2 linked regions of the Styela clava genome follow. The protein of the gene in region 2 interacts with the protein of the main gene of each other region in a pairwise test. Links are inferred from orthologs where the notes say so. Each region holds a gene or a part of one and is shown on either strand. Other genes may lie near its edges.

What was found.
Region 1: the proteins of axin-1-like (region 2) and glycogen synthase kinase-3 beta-like interact in a two-hybrid assay, tested with the Drosophila melanogaster proteins (2 studies listed by BioGRID, with this or other methods). The link is inferred for Styela clava from reciprocal best matches to the Drosophila melanogaster genes Axn and sgg.

What each region holds. Positions count from the first base shown.
Region 1 is NC_135253.1:9,238,537-9,249,816, reverse strand, and holds the start of glycogen synthase kinase-3 beta-like, read right to left. Parts: upstream 5,209-11,280; 5' UTR 5,149-5,208; intron 4,728-5,148; 5' UTR 4,679-4,727; exon of another isoform or gene 4,672-4,678; intron 4,121-4,671; 5' UTR 4,110-4,120; coding exon 3,950-4,109; intron 2,098-3,949; coding exon 2,002-2,097; intron 1,694-2,001; coding exon 1,599-1,693; intron 1,348-1,598; coding exon 1,264-1,347; intron 639-1,263; coding exon 528-638; intron 1-527.
Region 2 is NC_135256.1:17,127,707-17,138,601, reverse strand, and holds the start of axin-1-like, read left to right. Parts: upstream 1-5,676; 5' UTR 5,677-5,791; coding exon 5,792-5,958; intron 5,959-6,179; coding exon 6,180-6,470; intron 6,471-7,001; coding exon 7,002-7,125; intron 7,126-7,887; coding exon 7,888-8,094; intron 8,095-8,318; coding exon 8,319-8,440; intron 8,441-10,119; coding exon 10,120-10,270; intron 10,271-10,842; coding exon 10,843-10,895. Other genes in the region: ATP-dependent RNA helicase DDX19A-like, read left to right, coding at 7-104, 399-501, 1,516-1,632, 2,238-2,435, 2,647-2,821, 3,733-3,800.

The sequences.
Region 1 (11,280 bases), on a different chromosome or scaffold from region 2:
TGTATGATAGATGGATAGTGCTATTGCAAAGAATATTTAAATATGTTTCTGTTTGATTATAGAATTTATGGATATTTTCTATAAAAGAGCTGGTTGAGTGTACATTCAATGATACCAATTTGTATTTTTTTTTAATTCAATCAGAAATGTGGATGTGAACCATTGTACAATTTAAAAAATTATGAATTTGTAGAATCATCTTATTTTAAATTGGAGACTGGAGAGTGATTATTCAGTATGATTTTATAAGAATAAAAAAATGTGGATGATATACTAATCGAATGAATGACATTATCAGATGGAAATACTTTTATAAAAATATGGAGACTTATCTGCATCGCAGAACCGAAAGTTGAGAAATTACATTATAGCACAAAATCCTGTACAAATTAATTTTAGCAGCTTTGCGAAACCTATTTTATGTATATACCCAAATATCAATTTATGCAAATTCATTTCCAATAGCGCTTCCAACAAACAAAGCCGGTATTCATATTGAGTCATTATATATACCTAATACTACACACCTTGACAAAAAGAATTGGAATAGTCTGTTTATTTTTGCTGAATTGTCTAGCAACTCTGTACACTGTTTCTGGAACATATTCCATCACAAGGTTGAGATAAAGTTCATCTTTCTGGAAAAGATATGCGAAAAGGTCGTGGTAATTAAAACTTCAAAGCTCTCGATACGAAAAATAGGAAATATAACTTTTAAAAAGAAGCTATCATAACTAGGATCGTGCATTCAGATAAAAATTCATTTGACAAACTTTTGAAAAAAAAAATCGGAGATGACTCAAACTTCAAACATCGGGGTTGAAAAGTAATGTGACCTTAACTTCAACCTAGAGAAACCCCAAGCCTATGAAAGTTTTTTTGCTTTTGATGAAATAATTTAAGTTAGTTTGACGCTTGTTTTGTATATGCTGAGAGCTTTTACTATTTCTTAGTCTAAAATACAGATATTATACTTAGTTTATAATCTATACTTAGGGTATGGCTCTGATTTCAAATTCTGGCTACACGAACCACCATCATACTTTGGATTAGAAACGAACATTTTCATTGTTTTAAAGAATCATCTTTCCTTATTAAATACACAAACTTTTAAATAAAATTACAAACTATTAATAATATGGTAAAATGGTGGTGGTCTTAAAAAAAATGACCAAAATCACAATAACCCCTATATATTTTGCCTTTACGCAGTATATAAACTGAATTGTAGAAAATTGTTAGAATACAAAAGCAAATACAAACCTTTTCTCCACTTGAGTAGAAAAAATATCTCAAACTGACAATGTTGCAGTGATCTAGCTTTCGCATTATTTGAAGTTCGCGATTCTATAAGGGAAAAACACCTAATTTCAAAATCTAACTTTTGACAGTCATAATTGGTTTACATGTTCAAATTAGGATATTTGATCTGACTTGTAATCTAGCAAATTTTGCATTCTACCCAAACATTTTTGATCAAATATCATTTCTATGCTTGTTTATGCATAACATGGTCCCACAATGTAATAGCCATTTATATAAAAAAACAAGTTATTATTGTATCAGTATTCTAGTTCATTCACAATTACAGCAAATACCTTGAATCTTCTATCTTGCAAAACTTTTTTAATCGCAACCATTTCATTGTTGTCTGCGAGTCTTGCTTGATAAACGACACCAAAGGATCCATTTCCTAAAGAAGAAAGAAATTCATATGGAATGATTTCAAAATTTGTTTTATTTGCAACAAAGATTCAAGATCCTTACTATTGCGCAACGTCTACAATATAACAGCGGTATAATATTAAATACAGTGTTGAATTGCCACTGGTATAAGATAAGAAAATGATTAGGATTCTGGGAATACAATAATACCAAATACTAAGATTAAATGATGCAAAATTAAGTCGAAAATAGAGATATTTTATACGGTAAAGCAAAAGAACATATCAATCCATCTACATTGTAATGTAAAGTAAATCGACATATACCAGTAATTACCTATAACTCTGGTGTCTGTATATGAAACTTGTTGCTGTGTTTCTGGTCCGTGTCCTGGAGTTGCAACAACAGTTGTTATCTTACCTTCTTTCTCGCCTGAAATGAAAAACATTTTCAGATGATATTCTTAAATTCTAGTCTTAATAAAATACATACAATTTAGCAATAGCTCATTTCAAATTGTTATCTTGGAGCTCAAGACTATCTCCCCCTAATAGATATAAAAATACAATCACAGTAATTCATATTATACTACTTTGAATGCAAAATAAAAAGGCATTTTTTTATAGGCCTGGGATATCTTTTTATCTTTAGAAAAGTACTAGAGATTGTGACTTGAAAAACTGAAAGATGTGTATACCCTGCTAAAACTGATTGAACACAATCACCAACAGCATGATTTGGGAATCCTGGGAATATTTTAAACACAATCAGAACTTACTAAAGAACAGTGAGATATCAATAATGTACAGTACACCTATACATTAATACAAGTTGTGAAAAATTCCTAGAGATCAACATGAAAATAGTGAGTTTGAAGAAGTTTATTTGAATGTATAATTTCCTGATCAAATTTTAACATTTAAAATATGCTTAGAATATATAAAATCGAAACATACATATGAATGAGATTAAAAAAAACAGGCTATACAAAAACTGACATCTATTGCCACAGCAGCAGCATTAAACTTCTAAACAAATGAATACTTCGTGTAATAACTTCGAGAAATCTATATGTAAATTTCACCTATGAAAGCTGAATTAAATAACAAAAATGTTCAATAAAAGTAGCCTATTTCATTTTGTAGAATAATTAAACATAGATATATTTACAATACAATGTTACAAAGCTAAAGCTTTAGTAATCGGTGACAAAATTCTGATTCATACATGTTATATTCTGACAGGTATATCAACTGATTCAAGCCAAAGCAATGACTGGCATCACCATGTCATAAATCATGTACTTTTAATTTACAAACCTCATAATACTGTGATGGTATCATAATGAATTGAGTGATCTTTAGAAATAACCATTGTTACATGTTACAGCCGTCTCAAACTTTTAATCGTTTTGTAATTGCTTGTCACAGGATATTATGAGGATGATGTTTTATAACCAAATAATATATGAAATTGTATTAAAATTCTACCTCACGTACTGTTCTAATTTGGAAAGCGTGAATATTCACGCTTCAGGATAACTACCTCGTGAATCTTGTCATAAAGTATGATTTCTCAAAATATGATATCAGGATTGGAAAGACTATTTCAAGTTTGGTATATCTGATCAGATTTATTACACCAATACATCAAATACATTAGGATTATATTATTATTTTTTGCGATTCGTTTCAGTGAGCTAGATATTGTATATTTGTTGAATTAGAACAAGAAAATTTGTTTCAAATTAGGCATAAATTTCAGTCAAAAATATTTAATAAGAATTTCACACAAATCTAAGTTGTAATATAACATTTCCAATAGATGAAAGTTTTATAACTTCATTCATTGCACCAGTTTTACCAGTCATATTCATTTTATTTTGAAATTATATGTTTTTTTCTAGAAAAAGCCTACAATGCATGAAATTACTTTAGCCTCAATACATTTCATAAACTTCTAATTTCAATGAATTTGTGTATTACTTCAATATTAATTAACACCCAAACAACAAGGCCATTATAATTCATTCTGATCTGGCACACAACAAATAATAAACACCTAGGTGATACAAGAGTGATAATTTATCTGATATGTCGCAAGCTAACTCAACTTTCGAGAGCAAATCTAGCTGGCATCCAAGTTCTATCATTGATTACGATAAAACTAAGCTCTTATTGCACTTAGAGGCACTATAGGTATTATCTCTTACATGGCATTTTAACAAATAGATCCCATGCATTATGTTTATATATAATATTTATCAATAAAAAAAGTCACTTACGGCTGACTTTCATATTTCCCTCAAATTTACGAGCATGGTTAAGTGATGCAAACTGTGAGTCGCCCTTGGGTCCAAGCAGCTTTTTGGTGCTAAACGACGTTGCAGCTGACAACCTATCACTGGTATTAAACGTTTCCACCCCTCTTGAACAACTACTCATAGTAAGAAAACCTAAAATGAATATTCAGTATTATTTATGGATGCAAGTATCAAAAAATTCTACTTCAGTCTGCGATATTTTTCTAAAATGCAATCTATCATTTATTCTATGTGATTTAAAGAGTCTTGCTGCATACTAACACAAACATATTTCTGTAACGTTTCGTCTGACTTCTTCAGACATACATATTTCAACTATGTTCAACATTACAGAAATATATTTGTGCTAGTGCGCAACAAGACTCTTAAATCACATAGGTTAGTTATCTTTACTTTTGCTACAGCATCCTTGCAATATATGCATACGGATCAACAGCGGCACAACAACATAAAAGAAGGATAAGTGGTTTTAGTCTCTCAGAAACCAAATCATTAGCATAAGGTATCATTTATTCTTTCTGATACTAATCATTTTCTTCGCATAATCAGAAAAATAAGGCGATGTATTATACAATTTTATACAATATTTAATTACGCTCAAATATGACATTTCGCATGTCCTTTCTAACATCAATAGCCTGGTCCACATTCAAATAATATAAATATAGAATGAACAATAGTACCTAGTACCTTTTTGTAGAAATCAAACAGCCATTTTCACTTGAAGTTGAAATTAATTCTAAAAAGCATAATATTATTGAATAACTAAGACATAAAATACTCAATATTTATATATGGTTTAAACTTTAAACAGTAAGATAACTGATATTTCACAGTATTAGATAATTGGATTATGGGTGCATATTTAATACAATAAAATGACAAAAAATCCAAATTAACAAAGTAATAAAAAGATTCCTATTGGTAATAGAAGACTTATTTTATTAACGACTTGGATAATCAAGATTACAAACACCATACTGATAATTTATGCCATTGTACAGAGTAAAATTTGGTACATATAACAGATACAAACTTTTAGTTTAAATGGCAATTATATAAAAAAAAAATATAATCTGGCTATTGCTGTAGTACGAAAATTGTTTTAACAAGTTGAAATTATCCCATAATATTGTGATATTCAAATGAAAATAACTCACCAGATATATTAATTTGTAAAATAATTAAAATCAATCAGATAATTACCTAAAAACCTGAAAAAGGGAGAAGTTTTGGTCAAGATAAATCTTCCACTCATTGCAATAAGGTAGCCTAAATAAGTAGTATACAGACTTGACTTTCGGGAGAAATGATAACTAACTAGACAGATTTAACTACATGCAGGCAGATAAATATCGTGTCATATGGGTCAAGTTTAGTTCATGGATTACCGGTACATGGTTTTCAAATAGACAAAGAGAGAAAATACAAATTTAGGCACTATAGGAAACTCAACCTAGGCATAATATTAGTTAAATTTAATCTCTACAACAGTGAAAGACTTGTTCTAGACAAGTAATCTTGGTATCAAGCACTTTTCCTGGCTATACATATACACCAGGCATGGCCATAACCGAATACTGGACTATTTCAAATAAATTATAAAATACCACAATACATAAATTTATTCATTTTTTTTTAATAGGAATTAATAGTATCAAGATATACAGATGGCATGTACGATATGATCAAAATTTGGGATTTTCTTGCTTCTAGGAATAGAGAATCGATTTATACTTATGATTTTGGCAAGCACAGAAAAAAAGCAAATAGGCGTCCAGAAAAATGTTTCAGATTCTACAGTAACATCAGGGTCCCTGACAACACACACACACACATTTTGACACAGCTGTTTTTTGTCAGCGTGAGTGACATTCAGACCATCAGCAATGTCTGAATGAAGAGCTAAATTACATCACTTCCCCCTAAAAAATTTTATGTTGACGAGGTTATACTGTTGCGATTTCGGGTCTCATGTAGTTTCTTACCTAACACACTTCTAGTGGGCGTAGCATGAAATTTTTTTCACGTATCAATCCTAACCCCCACCTGACTACACCATCCAAAAATTACGTCATTATGACGTCACATTGATGTAATAGAGCCCTTCAAACTATACGAACTGCCATCCAAGACGCGCAAACGAGCACCCGAAATCGAACAGTTAGTTCTCTCGTCGCAACGATTCCAATAGGAGAGAGACCGATAACGTCAGTCAGTTTTTTATCGTCGGCGCCAATGCCGTTTCGGTCGATCGTGCGTATATTTGGCAAGCTCTATGCCGTGATTGTGATGTCGTAGTGATTTAATTTTTTGATGGCGTAGTCAGATGGGGGTTAGGATTGACATATCAAAAAATTGTTATGCTACGCCCACTAGAAGTACGTTAGGTACGAAACTACACGAGACCCGCGATTTCTATGTCATAGTTAAAATTGTGACCAGACCCATCAGTATAGCCCTAAAAAAACATTATTAGTACTTTGATATCTGTTACCAAATGATCAATCCAAGGGGTTTTCGAACTTCAGTAAAAAAAGCCCCTTCTTAAATGCTGTAAATGTTTTCGTCTTCATCACTAAAACTGAATGTTTATTATAAAATACTTTTTAATTTACTGATTTATATTATTGAATACAATATAATGTGATTTTGTCAGAGAATTTGGAAATGGGTTTAACCTCAATAAGTTCTTCGATTAAAGGTATTGTTAGTTATAGAAAAAATAAAATTGTGAAAAAGGGTAGGCTGCTATAAGTGCAGGCCAAAAGAATTAGATTGAGCTATGCTTTTGAAAGTTGACAAAACTGAAGAACCAATCAAGTCTTTCTTTATCTTAACTTTTCAAACACATTGGCTTCCATTTTTGCATTTATTTTTTGTTGAAAATAACCCATTATACCGTCAGAAAAATGCATTTAATATACTTATTCATTTATTTAAAATATAAATTTAAAAAGGAAAATAAAATCAATATACTGATATACAAAAATCTGGAAACAGTAGACGTAGATTGGAAAATTATGTGTCTCTGTTTTTTATTGGCAGAATTAAATTCATTTCAGTTTCAGAAGCATGCTGAATGAACAAGACAAACTTTGGTTATAAACCATTATTAGAAAAAATGGTTCTAGCGAAGTACGTCGAACAAAAATGTGATAAAAATAGGATAGGATTTATAAATCATCCTGTGACTGCGTAATTAACGCGAAACAAAAATCCAATGTGAAAATACAACCTAAATTTAAATTTTTCTTAAAAATAATAGTCTGGTCTCGCGCGGAAAGCTATTGTTACTCTGTTTGGCATGACGTGCTCAGTTGAAAATTGAGTGGGTTTGCTAAACGCGTCTGTCAAGAATTTTAATCTGGACCAGACGGACTTTTTGAAAAAAAAAACGTGAAAATTTCACATCCATTTTTGGTTTGGCGTCTTTTAAGGAAATCGAAAAATGTAATGAAATCCACAATATAACACTTGATGGTCCTAAGTTACGGGTACCAAAATACTGTAATAACTAAGTTAAGTCAATCAATTTTAGTAAAACTGTAAAACAGTAAAAAGACATAAAATTCCAAAATTAGACGTGTCTACAACACAGCATTAGCGTAGTCAGTTCTGCATTCCGCCTGTAGGTAGGCTATAAATTATGCTTTATGACATTTCGGATTTGGCTATCACTGTATCAAGTAGTACGGTAACATTACCATAAATTGACATTTAAAAGTCCCAAAATTCGACTTTATCGACACTATAACTAAATAGTGGGTTTTTAGAAATATCATGTGTAAATCTTACAAAGCTGAGATATGGTAATCCAAAGATGACACTAACGATACTGGTAGTTGAAAAGAGATTCCAACCAAGCGCGGCGCAAACGCCAACGAAAAAGGCGACGCCAGAGCAAACTGCCATTCGCTTTCCGCGAAAGCTGTGCCCAAGAGAAACAATGGACACGGTATCTGTGCGCTGTTTCATCGATTATGAAACTTATGGACTATTTTTCGCAAATAACTCATTTCGCATCCGAGTTTTATTAAAGAGCGAATAAAACAACTAAAACTATCTTTTAAAAATATGGATAAAATAAATAACAAGATCAAGTAGCCGAAATGGACTATCATTTAGTATATTGTTGAATTTTAAAATATTAACACCAACAGAAGAATTTAGCGCACCTTAAATGGAAATTCACATTACGAATCTAACAAAAGACAATGATGGCGTATCATTGCCGTACTTAAAAATTATAACCACAAAATACACAACAATAAAATACACAATGCCTTTCACCCCGATTCACTGTGTACTTTTTCTCTTAAATATATTACGAATGTTTCAATTCTACTACTCCTTCGCACATACGCATGTTCGGTGACACACTTTCGCCACATTATTATAATATATTTAGTTTATTTTGCGATTGACCCCACCCCCTCCACACACACTCGTATTACAACGAATCTACCTAAGAATCCTCCAAATTTGTTATAACTTTTTGTAAATTAATACTGAATTATACAACGTTCAACATTTCCCATTAGTAACCCTCAATCTTGCATCTTAATCATCCAGGAGAAAATTTCGGTAGTTGACTTGAAGACCGTTTGCGTGGTCGTATGTATTACTCCCGTTCATAACAGAGCAGTTTATCGCTGTTACTTTTGTACAATTCAATATTGTTTCGATGACTGCATTTGTGGTTGAAAAAATAACATAGACTATTTATCTTCCTCTCTCCCTTCGGCGATGAACGAATATGATTATTATAAATTAATACAATCAGTCAACTTCGTGATTTTTTGTGCTTGGTTTTGTAATGATTCTGAAAAGTTGTTGTGGGTTGATAAAGTTTTTGCGTATGGCGACAAAAATATCAGGAAATGTGCAAAATTATTTTAGACAGCCTTACTAAAACGCTTGAATTGTTCTTAAACTTTCACTAGTACGTAGTCATGAGTGACAGTGTTAGGTGCGTCGCTGATAGTCCGGCAGAATCGGGCCTTAACATTGTTTTGGGACATAAAGTTTTTTTTATTGTTTAGATATAATGTAGAATTTGTAGATGACATATATAATGATACCCAGGTGGGTGTGGAGTATATAATGTTGAGCACTTTTTTTAAATGGATTTAAAGTATTCGTACAAAGATGACGCACATCCTGAACCCTAACCTGGTAAACATACGATGTTCAGGTTGTGCGTCATCTTGGTACGAATACTTCAGGAGCGCCTTTTTGTTAAAAACAATTATTTCATAACTACATGGTTTAGTTTTGCATACATAGTAACATTAAATCTCCTTACAATGTCAGAAATTCAATTTTAGTAGAATAAATGGTGGTTTATTTCACTAATACAAGCCAAGATCCATCGACAGCAACTAGCCACTTTCTATTGCGCTCTTCAAACTACATTTGCGTTGCCGCGCGCATTTCGTTTTCCTAGTTTAAGCTTTGGAACTTGGAAATATTTTATTAGTTGAATTGGATTGGAATATTTGACCTCGTCTTTCACTCCGAACAAGGCCATGTAAAACCATCCACTGGTATTTAACGATGTGTAACGTGTTTTCTTTTGAAAGAACCGGAACCTTTCAGTGCTGCATTGACTTTGGCAAAATTAATATATCCTTGTGGAGATAGAAGGTATGCGTATGTGAAACCGAGATGTGCACCTGTTATGCCAACATAGTTTAGTCAAACATTTTGAATGCTAGTACATCACACACATTTTCCTGCGTGCTTCGGTTGTACGTAGTAACGCGCACATTTTTGCGCACATGCATCAAATTCCACTTGATTATTGATCTATAGGTTTCTGACGAGCTTTTGTGTATGATTTCATTCTATAGAATTGTATGCTGTTCTAAAGAATACTAGTTTCAGCTTTTTCATTTATTCAAACCGCGTGTTGAAAGTAAGTTTTGTAATATTGCGTGTTGGTTTTCAACATCCCTAAATCGGTGATTCCAGTAAATCTTTAATACAAAAAGATCAGTAACATCTGCAATAAAAACAGCAGTACCCACTCAAATGTCAGCTGGGGGATGGATACTCCTAGTATCTGCTCCATCGCGTGCCTCTTACAGTCCAGTTTACATGAGTGTCAATTGGCATCTAAGCTCAGCCATAGACAAAAAGTTTCGGACTGCAGTTGGCGTGACGAAATGTTTTTAAATATATCTTCTACAATAAGATTATTTGATTGCATACTACTGAAAGTTCCGCCTTATATGTCTTTTCCCATTGCACTATTCCTTTACTGATATTCGATAATATGACGCTCATCTGACATAGTTCTTAAAGTGTGTAGATAGGTATAATCTTTTCCACGCTGTTCATATGGGGATGCGCGAATATATATAAGAATTGCTAATATTCGTTTGCAATGCGATGAATTCCCATCTTGGCATTTCTGCCTCTCGCAATTGCTGCGTATACTTATCGGAGAAGTTCTGTGGCGTGGTTATCAAATGAAAAAAAAAACATGGGAGTATTTTTTCTACTTCTCTACTACTATCAAACCTTGACATTTTGTGAAAACTTTTTTTCCATGCAACCTTTTTTTAAACATCCCCAACAACCACAATTAATTCTGTTATTAAACTTCCAAAACAAACACATAAAATCATCAACAGATGCATATCGCTAAGTAGATATTGCTGAATTGATCTTTATTTTACCATTTTTCATGTAATTCTTTTTGGTAAACTTGTTATCTATCGTAAATACGGCACATTTGACAATGTTGTAGTGTGACTTTTTTGGCCTCACATTTTTGATATTTGTAGTTAGAGCTCTTGGGGCTCTGTCAAACAAAGTTACAAACATAATATTGGCTGTAAATTGCAAAACATGATCATGTTGTTGGAATAACTTGGCATTTTATCACCCGTATATCATTCATTGTTGAGAATATTAATGAAATCATAAAATTTAAAAATCCGTTTTCGTGAATTTTTTGTTGTAGCTGAATTCCAGGGACAACATGACAACAGGCAAGAGAAGCACGGTCGCCTCTTTTAGTTTATGACAGGGACCCCGTCCACTTTAGAGGCCGCTGATCGGTTATCTGGGAGCAAGAACAAACAGATGGAAATGCGAATATATAATAACAATGTATTTTTATAGAAGAGAAGAAGCTAAAGTGTTGAGAGATTTTGGTAGTTTGAAAAGCATTGGCATGGAACATAAGAATGAACTACATTCTTTCCTAGGGAAATACTATAAAATGTAGCAATTTTCTCATTCTTGTTCTCGTGATATCATTAAATTTCACTGCCCGTCGT
Region 2 (10,895 bases):
TTTCAGGCTTTTGATCCCAGCAAAATTGAAGTGTTTGTTCTCGATGAAGCAGATGTGATGATTGCAACACAGGGTTTTCAAGATCAATCGATTAGAGTCCATAGGTTTGTAGTAAATTAGAATAATTATGAAATTATGAAAGAACATTATTGATAATCCAAAAAAAGACTATAAAGGGGTTTTTGATGAAGCATTCATTGATATACACGAGTACTCGACTCTTTATCATAGGAGGGGAAAATTTTAGTTTTGAGTTAGAATTAATGTAATTAGACTCGATTGCGAGTTTAATGTTTCAAGTTGAAACTAGGCGACTCTGTGTAGTGTAGTGTTTTCAGCGATGTTGAAATCTGTTATACTTATTAATATATAATATCTTCAACTAACCTTTTTCTCAGGAAATTATCAAAGAACTGCCAATTATTACTCTTCTCAGCAACTTACGAAGAAGCAGTCATGAGATTTGCCAGAAAAATTGTAACAGAACCAAACATTATACAGGTACTCCATGTTAGAGCTAAGATCTGAAGCCCGGGCCCGACCCGAATTTCGGGCCTGAAACATCAATCATTACGTTAGGGTCGGGCCTGAAACATCAATCATTACGTTAGGGTCGGGCATGAAATGTCAATCATTACGTTCGCGTCGGGCCTGAAATGTCAATCGTTACGTTCGGGTCAGGCCTTCGGCCTTCGCTATCGCTGACTTTTTTCAATTAAATATATGTCTATAAAAAATATATAATAAAATCATGTGTGGATACTAAACTAAGGAATGCATGTTATAAAAGAAATATTTTGAATAAAACAGAAAAGAAGCTGTAATGGCCCTTTTCTCGACTTTTGATCACCGAAAATATTCTTTCTATACTTTACCATTGCAAATTTTTCGAGGCTTATTTTAAGAATTTCGGGTTTGCTTCGGGCTCGGGCCTGCAAATACAGTTAATTAGTCGGGCCAGGTTGGGTTTAATACCCACGGGCCCGAGTCGGGTCGGGCTGGAATTTTTGGGCCCGATGTTACCTCTACTCCATGTGTAGAAATCACCATACCCTTTGATCAACTTATATCGGAAGTGATTTTATAAGAAATACATTTCAACTATAATATGACTATTCGAAGGTTTCAAGACAGCTGCTATTGTTAAAATTTTTAAAAGAAATTTATATGAAAATATTCAAAAAAAAAAGTTGTTATTTAAAGCTGGTATGCAATCCTAGTTTGAAGCAATATTCACCAAAGTATTCCAACAAAAGGTTTACAGGAGTTTAAAAGTCAAAAATATGTTTCTACTCATTATCTCGAAGCAGCTTTTTCAAGTTTTGCTCTTTTGGGTTATAATCCTCATATTGTAATATGTAAAATTTACACAGGTTGTCCAAGAACATAACGCTATGATTTGCATCTTTTCATTTGTAACCATATCTTTATTACATCATGTTTGTCTTTTTCAATAGTTTGCTTGTTGTAGCCATTGCTATATTTGTAAACATACACTCTTTTTATCATTCATAGCTGAGAAGAGAAGAAGAAACATTAGACAATATCAAGCAATATTTCGTCAAATGCACCAGCAAAGAAAAGAAAGCCGATGCTTTGTCTAATATTTACAGTGTACTATCTGTCGGCCAGGTACTGGTGTAATTATTTATAGAAAATTTCCTTCCTGTATTCTGAGCATAATTTACTATTTCAACATCTTCTATCCTTCTGTGATCGGATTAGTCTTTATTGACACTAATATAGGTTTTCTTCTTCAGAACACTTGCAAATTATAATGAATGGTCATATGAAGGTGCAAACTAGGGATAGGATGAGATTCTTATTTGAGTCGAATCCACACATTTTACGACTCAAATTTGAGCATTTAATGTAAAATCTATATAATGTTCAAATAATATGTAAACTGGTAGTCTATCCATCTTGGATTGCCAGATACTTTATCTCTACTTTATAAATTAGGCTAATTATGCCTGGCCAACAGTTATCCAACATTGTAGCCTTGACCCCAGCATGAACTTCACTAATACTTTTCCCAGAGTAGTTATGAGAGAATGATGTGTAATTGTTGAATTTGATTTTTAATTGTTACTCACTGAACTGATTGGCGTTTTAACTTGACCCCTCTCTTTCTGGAGTGTTCACTATTTTAATTTTCATGATTGGTTACAAATTTTTGTATGCAATGTCTTATTTTGTTGAAACTAAATTCCAATCCATTTAATATTTTTTGTCAGGCAATCATATTTTGTGCAACAAGAAAAACTGCGAAATGGCTTGCACAGACGATGTGTGAAGGAGGATTTGTTGTTGCCTTGCTAAGTGGAGAACTGGATGTTGAACAGAGAGCTTCAATTCTACGTCGATTCAAAGCTGCCAAAGAGAGAGTTCTTGTAACAACAAATGTCTGTTCGAGGGGAATTGATGTGGAACAGGTAAATTTTCTAAAATATATTGTATGCTTATTCATATATATATATATATATATATATACGCTACCTCATATACTGAAATAATCTGAACACCATCATTTTTTGTCATATTGTTTCAATACAACATTGCATAAAAATAAATAGTAAAACATTGAAAAACAGACCACAGAATTTTCTTCTTTTTTCTCAATTTATTTCCCTTTATGTTAAACAGGTCACACTGGTTGTGAACTTTGACCTTCCTATCGATATGCAAGGAAGAGCGGATTGTGAAACATATTTGCATCGTATAGGTCGCACTGGCAGGTTTGGAAAATCTGGAATTGCAATCAACTTTATCAGCCAAAACAGAGATGAAATGGTTTTGCGAGAAATCGAAAAACATTTTGGTGAGTAGTGTTGATACCAAGGTATTGATTAACCAGGTTTTCAATGTCTGAGGGTACAATAATAATGATGACATTTTCTAATACTGCTATGATGCAATTCACTAGAAACAATCATGGAAGTGGCACATGACAAGATGTTAGAGTTACGAGTCTGATTTGACTAATCCGAATAATAACTGAGCTTAGAACTTAAGTTGAATCTTCAGAGTTTGTGATTTCACAACAGATAACAAAAGCATGTTTCACAGATAAATTGAGCCACATATACGTGGTTCATGCACCGAAAAGCACATAGACATATTTTCTGGCCACATTAGGGACAGTACGCACCTAGTATGTTACGAAAGAAATCAATATTTTCCAACAAGACCCTGGTGATAGATACATTATGTTTTCAGAGAGCCTATGTGGTCGATTGAATGATTTTGACTAGATATTGTTTGTGCTGATCTTCGGAGGGATGGAAAGTACATAGCATAGGTTTCAATTAGTAGATACAGAATTTGATTGAGACCTAATATAGAATCCTTGTCCCAAAAATATGTGGATTCTAATTAAATCAAGTTCTGATCCAAATCTCGACCCATCTGTACAAAATATATGCAAAGACATATTTCAAGATAAATATTTTTGTGTCTTCCAAGTGACATTCTTTATTGCTGAAATTATGATGCTATAAGTATCATTTTGTTTATCCTGTCCTTTCTCTAAAGAGCACTGATGGGGCCAGAGAAAGGTTGTGGAGAAAATGGGTATATATTATTCCAATAATCGTCTATTTTTTATCAGGGGTTTACTAACCCTTGTAGTCAATTGTTAATGCCAATACTGTATATATGTATATAGGCATAGCATACTATGAATAAGGGTAACAGGGACTTATTACTAACGTTATGGTTGTTTTATTTCAGGAATTAAGGTTCATAACTTGGACACCAATGATTTTGATGATATGGAGAATAAGATTGGGGAAAAGTGAACAGAAATCATGCACACATTTTAGACTTTGTTTTGAAATTTCGTTTTTTGATCAGTTACTACTTGCTGAACTTTTTTATTCAATAAATAAACAATTTCTTTCTCCATTCCAAAATATTCTTCTCTGTTTTACTGCTGTAGCTGAATTCGGTGTTTTGAAATATTAGTCAGAGAATGTGAGTTTACAACAGTGTATTTATCATGAGTACTTTATCATTGAGTGTATGCTCAAATATATGGACACGTCACAAGGTGCCACTATATTTTATTCTGACACATAAAATACGAATCTCCGCAGAAATTTTTGAAAAAAGTAATAGCCTTATGGCGAAAAAATCAATCTTTAACCACTGAAAATTTCTAAAGCAATTGGTCCAGTATTCGAAGAGAAAAGCGATTTTATAATGGTGATGAACTACAACATAATATTGAAACGATCGTTATGTCGTGTCCAATACCGTGTTTTCTCGAAAATAAGACCTAGCCTGGATTTTAAAAATCATTTTAATATAAGCCCTCCTCTTAAAATCAGACCTAGTTGATACGCAAAATTGTTTTTGACCTAGTCGGTAGCAAAAATTCTCTCCTGCACGCTTTAAACGATTGATAAGCTAACTTTAGCAGTTGATTTGAATAAAAAAAACGTGTTATTTATAAGTAAATAGATAACGGCTTTCATATTTTGTATATAAATTTGAAAATCTCGTAATTCTTTACTTTGTAATTTTGTTTTTATTAAATGAAAATATAAGATATCCCCCGAAAATAAGCCCTAGTGGTACTTTGCGGAAGTAACTTGAAATAAGACCCAGTCTTATTTCCGGGGGAAACACGGTAACACGACTCAGCCCGCAGGTGCACAGCTGAAAACCACGGGTCTGGGCTGGAGTAATAATTGAATTGAATATCAATCTGAAAAATATGTCTGAGCACTAAAATTTCAATTGTTGTCTCATCTTTGGCATCTGCTGATTAACCGATGTTATCGAAATAAACATGGGTGTCGATGGTCAGGGAAACATCCGCTGAACAAAATAAGATTAGCCTTGCTGATGAAGACATGATGGAGAGAACATCACCCTCTTTGTTGCCCTCACCATGGTAAACGGGGATTTGGCGCCACATAGCGGCATAGCTGAAATTCGGCATATCAAAGGACATGCCGCGGAATTCGGCACTGATCAAAGACTTCGGTTGGGCCTGACGAGCGGATGTTTTGAGGTTTTGCGAAACTTGGTTGACTGATTCGTAGTCTCTTTTGTTCCTTTATATAGTTTTTCCCAGCTAGTAAATTATCAAATAATTTTCAAACACACCAGAATAGTTACGGTATAGGTCGTTTTAAGTCTGAAAGTACAGCAGTTCTACCAAGGTGACTCGTGACTGAAAAATGAATGGCATGGATTCATTTTCAAAAATTTGATCAGTATCAACTACAGCAGACTACGTCTAAAACTGTACCGGTACGCTTGAATATAAGTTGATTGTCGAGGGTTGGTTGCTGAATTAGAGGATGACAACGAGACCAAATCAGAGAATTCTGGGATTAGCAGTCGATTAGACGGGACTTGTGAACTTTCTGATTGCATTGCTGTAGATTTATACAGATGTACTGGTATACTCCAGAACTTATATAAATCAGTACAAACTGTATAACTTTATTTGCCTGTGACAGTAGGCTATGACCTGTTGGTTTATAGTACAGTAGTATTACAGTATTATCATATTTGTACCGGTATGTAGTCGCAACAATTAAAACTGAAAGAAGCTATTATGACTCAGAAATAATAATATAGTCCTGTAGACTAGTCTATTATGATATTATTATATGCAGATATGAGTTATCGGTTCATGTCTGTAATGAAATACAAATTTTCATGATATTGTTCAGATCATTCTAATATCATACTATTGCTTATATGTGAAATTTAGTATAAAATATCAAATGAAAATGGTTGAAAAATAATTACAAAATGCACCAAGTCAAGCAGCATGAATAACTTTGGGGTACAGTCGTTTTTACAAGGCCATAACTTCACAAAGCCATATGCAAGACCCCCTGCCATTGGAGAAGAAAATGAGGTCACATCTGTTGATGGACGTATGTCAACACATAGCAGTGTGAGTGGGAAATCCGAACTGTCGACTGCAACACCCAGGTATATTTCATAGGTTCTTTTTATTTTATCGATACATTCCAGCATTCTGAGTCCTCCAGTTGTATGTTTGTGTTTTATTTAGTCTTGTTGATAAATACAATTTAATTCTAAAAGTTCATTCTGGAAAGCAATTGACTACGTAGATTAGTATATGTATCATTCTTCGCTCATTTCTCGAAGTTTTAAACCTAACTATTCTGAAATTTGATTTTTTTTTTCAGGCGAACTGACATAGATCTCGGATTTGAACCAGAAGGAAGCGCTTCACCTCTTCCTACTTGTGATCGATGGAGATCATCACTTCACAATATGTTGGAAGATAGTGAAGGAATTCGATTATTCAAAATATTTCTTGCTGATAGCAAAAGACAAGAATTATTAAATTGTTGGTTAGCTTGTAAAGGATTCAGAGACTTTGGTACAAAAAATAATTATTCAAATAATTCTTCGGCTGCTTCATCAACAACAGGACCATTGACAGCCCAAAGAACTCAGTTTGATGCTGTAACTAGGTGAGAATTATTCTATTGGTAATAGTTTTGAAAGTATATAACAGAAATATGGAACTTGCTCGAGCACTGTAATCCACTGGCTCTCAACCTTTATCTCTTGTGGCCTATTTTCAGCGTCAAACAAAATCTCAGGCTCACAAAACCTTCGAGTATCTTAAATGTTTTTATTTGAACATTACCAATACAGTAAAAGTGTCAATAACAAAACTAATCCATGTCTATTTATCAACTTGTCAATTTGAACTACCAAATGAGGGTTCAACCTCGAGCATAAATCACCTCTTTTTTTTTCAATTTGTACTTGATGTTTTCTTGGGATCTACTGTAGGCTCAATGAAAACTTCAGGCCTATTTTGAAAATCTGGTTGAATTGAATTGTAGTTTTCTATTCTAAGCATATCTACTGGATCCCAATTTTATGTCTATGCAATTGTCCAATACTATTTCAAAATGGATTACCAGCTATTTTCTTGTACAGATTGTGCATCATTGCTAGTTTTGTATTCATGCATTTGTTGATTATATTTTCAGAGGAAAACTTGCAAAGACGATTTTCAATACTTACTTGAAGAAAGATAAATGCCATGCAGTGTCAAGTATCATAAGAGATGCGACCCGACAGTATATTTGCAAACAAATAAAGAATGCATTGCAGGTAAGTTTTTTTACAACATGAATATATAGTATAAGTAATAATTGTATGGTAATAATGAATATCTGAATTTTGACATTGATTCCCAGCTTAAATTGTTCTATCAGTATCAGATATAAACTAGACACATCACTTTTTGGTTGTCTAACTGTGCCTTTCAATAGTTTGTGTTATGATTTTTGATAGAATTGAAACCATGTTAATGAATGTCAATGAACACACTATGTATTTATGTTTAATATATAATATTAAGGTGGACCGTTATCAAAACCATGACAAAGATATATGGTTTAGGGCGGGTGTGCAACAAGCGGACCATGACCCGGCCTACTAAGCCATGTAGTTAGGCTTTTGTGAACAATCTGATTTTCCTAATTAAGCTTACAATCATAATTCGAAAATTTATGTTTAAAAGGCGCTCATATGGTAAAATACATAATGTTTTATTGCGCTTGTCAGTTGTCACTGCAATTAATCTTCTCTGGTGCTACATAGAAAAACTAAATTTTGTGTGGCCCAGGTAGATGTATGAAGTTTGTTTTATGGCCCACTGCCAAAAAATGTAGCACACCCCTGGTTTAGGGAAGAGTTTGTGTTATGTTCTTGTTATGCACAATGTTTGAAAAAACAAATGACTGGGTTTTGGTCAGTCCAATTTCCAACTCAAGAGCTGATGATTTCATTGGATGTAAACTGTACAGTACACTGCCCTGTTAGTCATTGAACTTGTAGAAAAGTTTTCTCCAACAATGCTTCTTTTTTTAGGCACAGAAAAATATGTCTTGTTCTGTTGAACTAGACGCTTCTCTGTTCGACCAAGCTCAAAACGAAATCGAATCCAATATTGAAGAAAATTCATATATTTCATTTTTGAAAAGCGAACTTTTTCAAAATTATGCTGCACAATGTGAAAACAAACCCAGTAAACAAAGCCCTCAAAATGCATCTACACTTCATCATTCCGAAAACAAGGTGAGGTCTTGATTTTGTGCAATTTTTCATGTCAAAAAGTGCTTCTCCACATATTGAACTTGCCTGTCACTGTTTCTTCATGTATCGCATTTTGATTACTTGCAATCTGATGTAACTTGAGATGATTTATATAGTTGGTTCCTTATGATACTTAAAATTAATGTGAAGCCTGATTATTTTAACCTATAGCCGACATATGTTTTTTATTTCAAAATTGTCTCCAGAGTGCACCATCGAATGCTCCTCAAGCTGCTCCAACTGAATTGACGGTACCTGAGGGCAGATATGGATATTTACCAAGACTCGATGAGAATCGAGAATGGTCTTTGCCACCTGTCCAACCAAAGTAAGAATTTTTGCTATTCATTATGATCATTAGCTATTAATCATCCTAGAGCAGCGGTTCTCAAACTATGGGTCGCGACCCACTGGTGGGTCGCAAAAGGAATCTTAGTGGGTCGTTTAAAGATGTAAAAAGCTTTGATTAATTATACTGGGTATTAGGATCGGTGGCGACTCGAATATGTAAATCCTAAAAAAAAAAAAAAAATTAAATTGAATTTAAATTCTGATCTGTGAAAGTTTCCTTTTTACGATCTTCTCAAAGGAACACAAATTTGCTACACAAAGAATGATCATGTGGCCTTTTTACGCATAGTAGTTTTGTACACTGTGCAGCACTTCTTTCCGTGTTTTCTCGAAATTTAGACAGGATTCAGATTTATTTTCTTTTGAAGAATAACACTATGTTTTTTTTGGAAGAGGTCTTTTGTGTTCATTTATCAAAAATAAAATTACATTGTAGAAAATCATGAGATTTTTTAATAAACATTATATAAAAACCGACATCCATTGTTTTTAATTTGTAATTTCCTATACAAAAATCAAGTGACAAATTATCATAATTGTGATTGTGACATCACACAATCGTGAATAGTGGTGTGATCTTCACCTTACCTCAGGTCATTGAACCTTTCCTCTCACATTTTAAATTTATTTTAAGGGAAGGGTTTAATTAAAATCATTTTTGAAATTCAAATTAGGTCTTATTTTCAGGCCAGGTCTTATTTTCGAGGAAACACGATAGTTTTGCGATGATTAGCCATTGCTGTGTTCTGTGTTATGTCATAAAAAGTTAAATGGGTCGCCATAAGCTGTGGTAATAAATAGTGGGTCGCAACTCTAAAAAGTTTGGGAACCACTGTCCTAGAGTGAACAGGATTGATCCAAATTCAATTATATTTAATGTGCATGTGCTGGTGGTTGTAGCGTTAGACTTAACCCTGTTGGCTTCGCAGGTTCAAATGCCATGCCCACCTCACCCAGGGTGTAAAAAATGGGGTAGGTAATCCGAGCTGCTTATCCTCCTAAAAACAATATCTCCTTTCACATCATTAGATATAGGTGGCTGCTGTTAGGACCTTGTTTGAAGTGAGAGGTGTGAATTAGCAATGTATAAATGAGAATATCGGTCAGAGACCGAAGACTTATCGATCGAAAGTTAGGGGATCCCCAAAACAGCGCTCCTACTCCATAGTGACACCTTGTGTCCCATCACTAATTAATTACTTGCTAATTATACGACATAATTCGCCCAAAATCAATAGGCTTCTGGTCCGAGATATGATGGTTACACATGCAAAATCTGAAGCAGATTCAATCTCGCTTTCGTGAGATATCGCATGCATCTGACAGACAGACAAATACCTATCAACATACTTACCGATTAAAATCTATAAGTAAAAAGCAGTATACCAGGGGATTTGTTTGTTATTTATTTATGCATGAAAAAGTTATGTTCTATGAGTTTATGTGCCAGTCTATAAATAAATATTTTTCAAATGAAGTTATTCTAAGAAGGATACGAAGTGATTTGGAAATGTTTTGGATTTGTGTTGAACTAGATCGAAAAAACAATAACAATATTGCAGTTTCTAACTATCAGCGCCTACTTTGGTAAATGTAAGTTTGGTTCATTATCTTGACTTCAACTATCGGTAATTTAAATTATTTTTTTATATTCAGTGATATCATATCAGAGGCAAAAGATAAAGACCAGACATTGAATTCTTCAAGGAGGAGTGGAACAGCATCACTTGCACGTGTTGTAATGGAAAGGAATAGAGCTGCTTCACAGTATGAACTATATTCAAATATGACGGACAGTCTTGACCAGGTATGTGACGGTATGTGCAATATTCACATGCCAATAAAAATGTTTTTTCTGATAAGAGTTTGGAGGAAAAATAGTAATTTTTTCTTTGTGAAGTTTGTTTTCATTAGAGGTGTATATAGACCAGGGGAGACCAACCGGAGGGCTGTGGCCCACCAAGGGCAACTGCGCTTCAGTTAGAGGGGGGGGGGCAATTTAGGGGGGGCAATTTAGTATGGTTTATGGAGAAATCTAGAATAGGCTATATGTAATTTACATTGAAATAAATACAAAGAAGACTTCAGCTAGCAGTTTTACTACCGGTTCAAGTGTTATCTAATCCCATTTCCCCACCCCTCCCCAGTTGTAAAATATTGTGTAGGCAATGCAAAACCGGCAATATTCTGTTCATTCAAAATAATAGTAACTTCTTAAATATTGATGGCTGCCTGTGCAGGACCTTTTTTGGAGCGATCATGTGTAAATATGCTTTGTATAAAAATTACGTTTATTTCAGAAAGTAAAGTTCGGGAGTCTGGTGCATATGTATATCATCATTAACCTATATCTAAGTTTTAACTTCTGTGACATTTTAGAACAATCCTGCTTATCCTTATATTGCTGCTCCTGGTGCCACGAAATACTATGT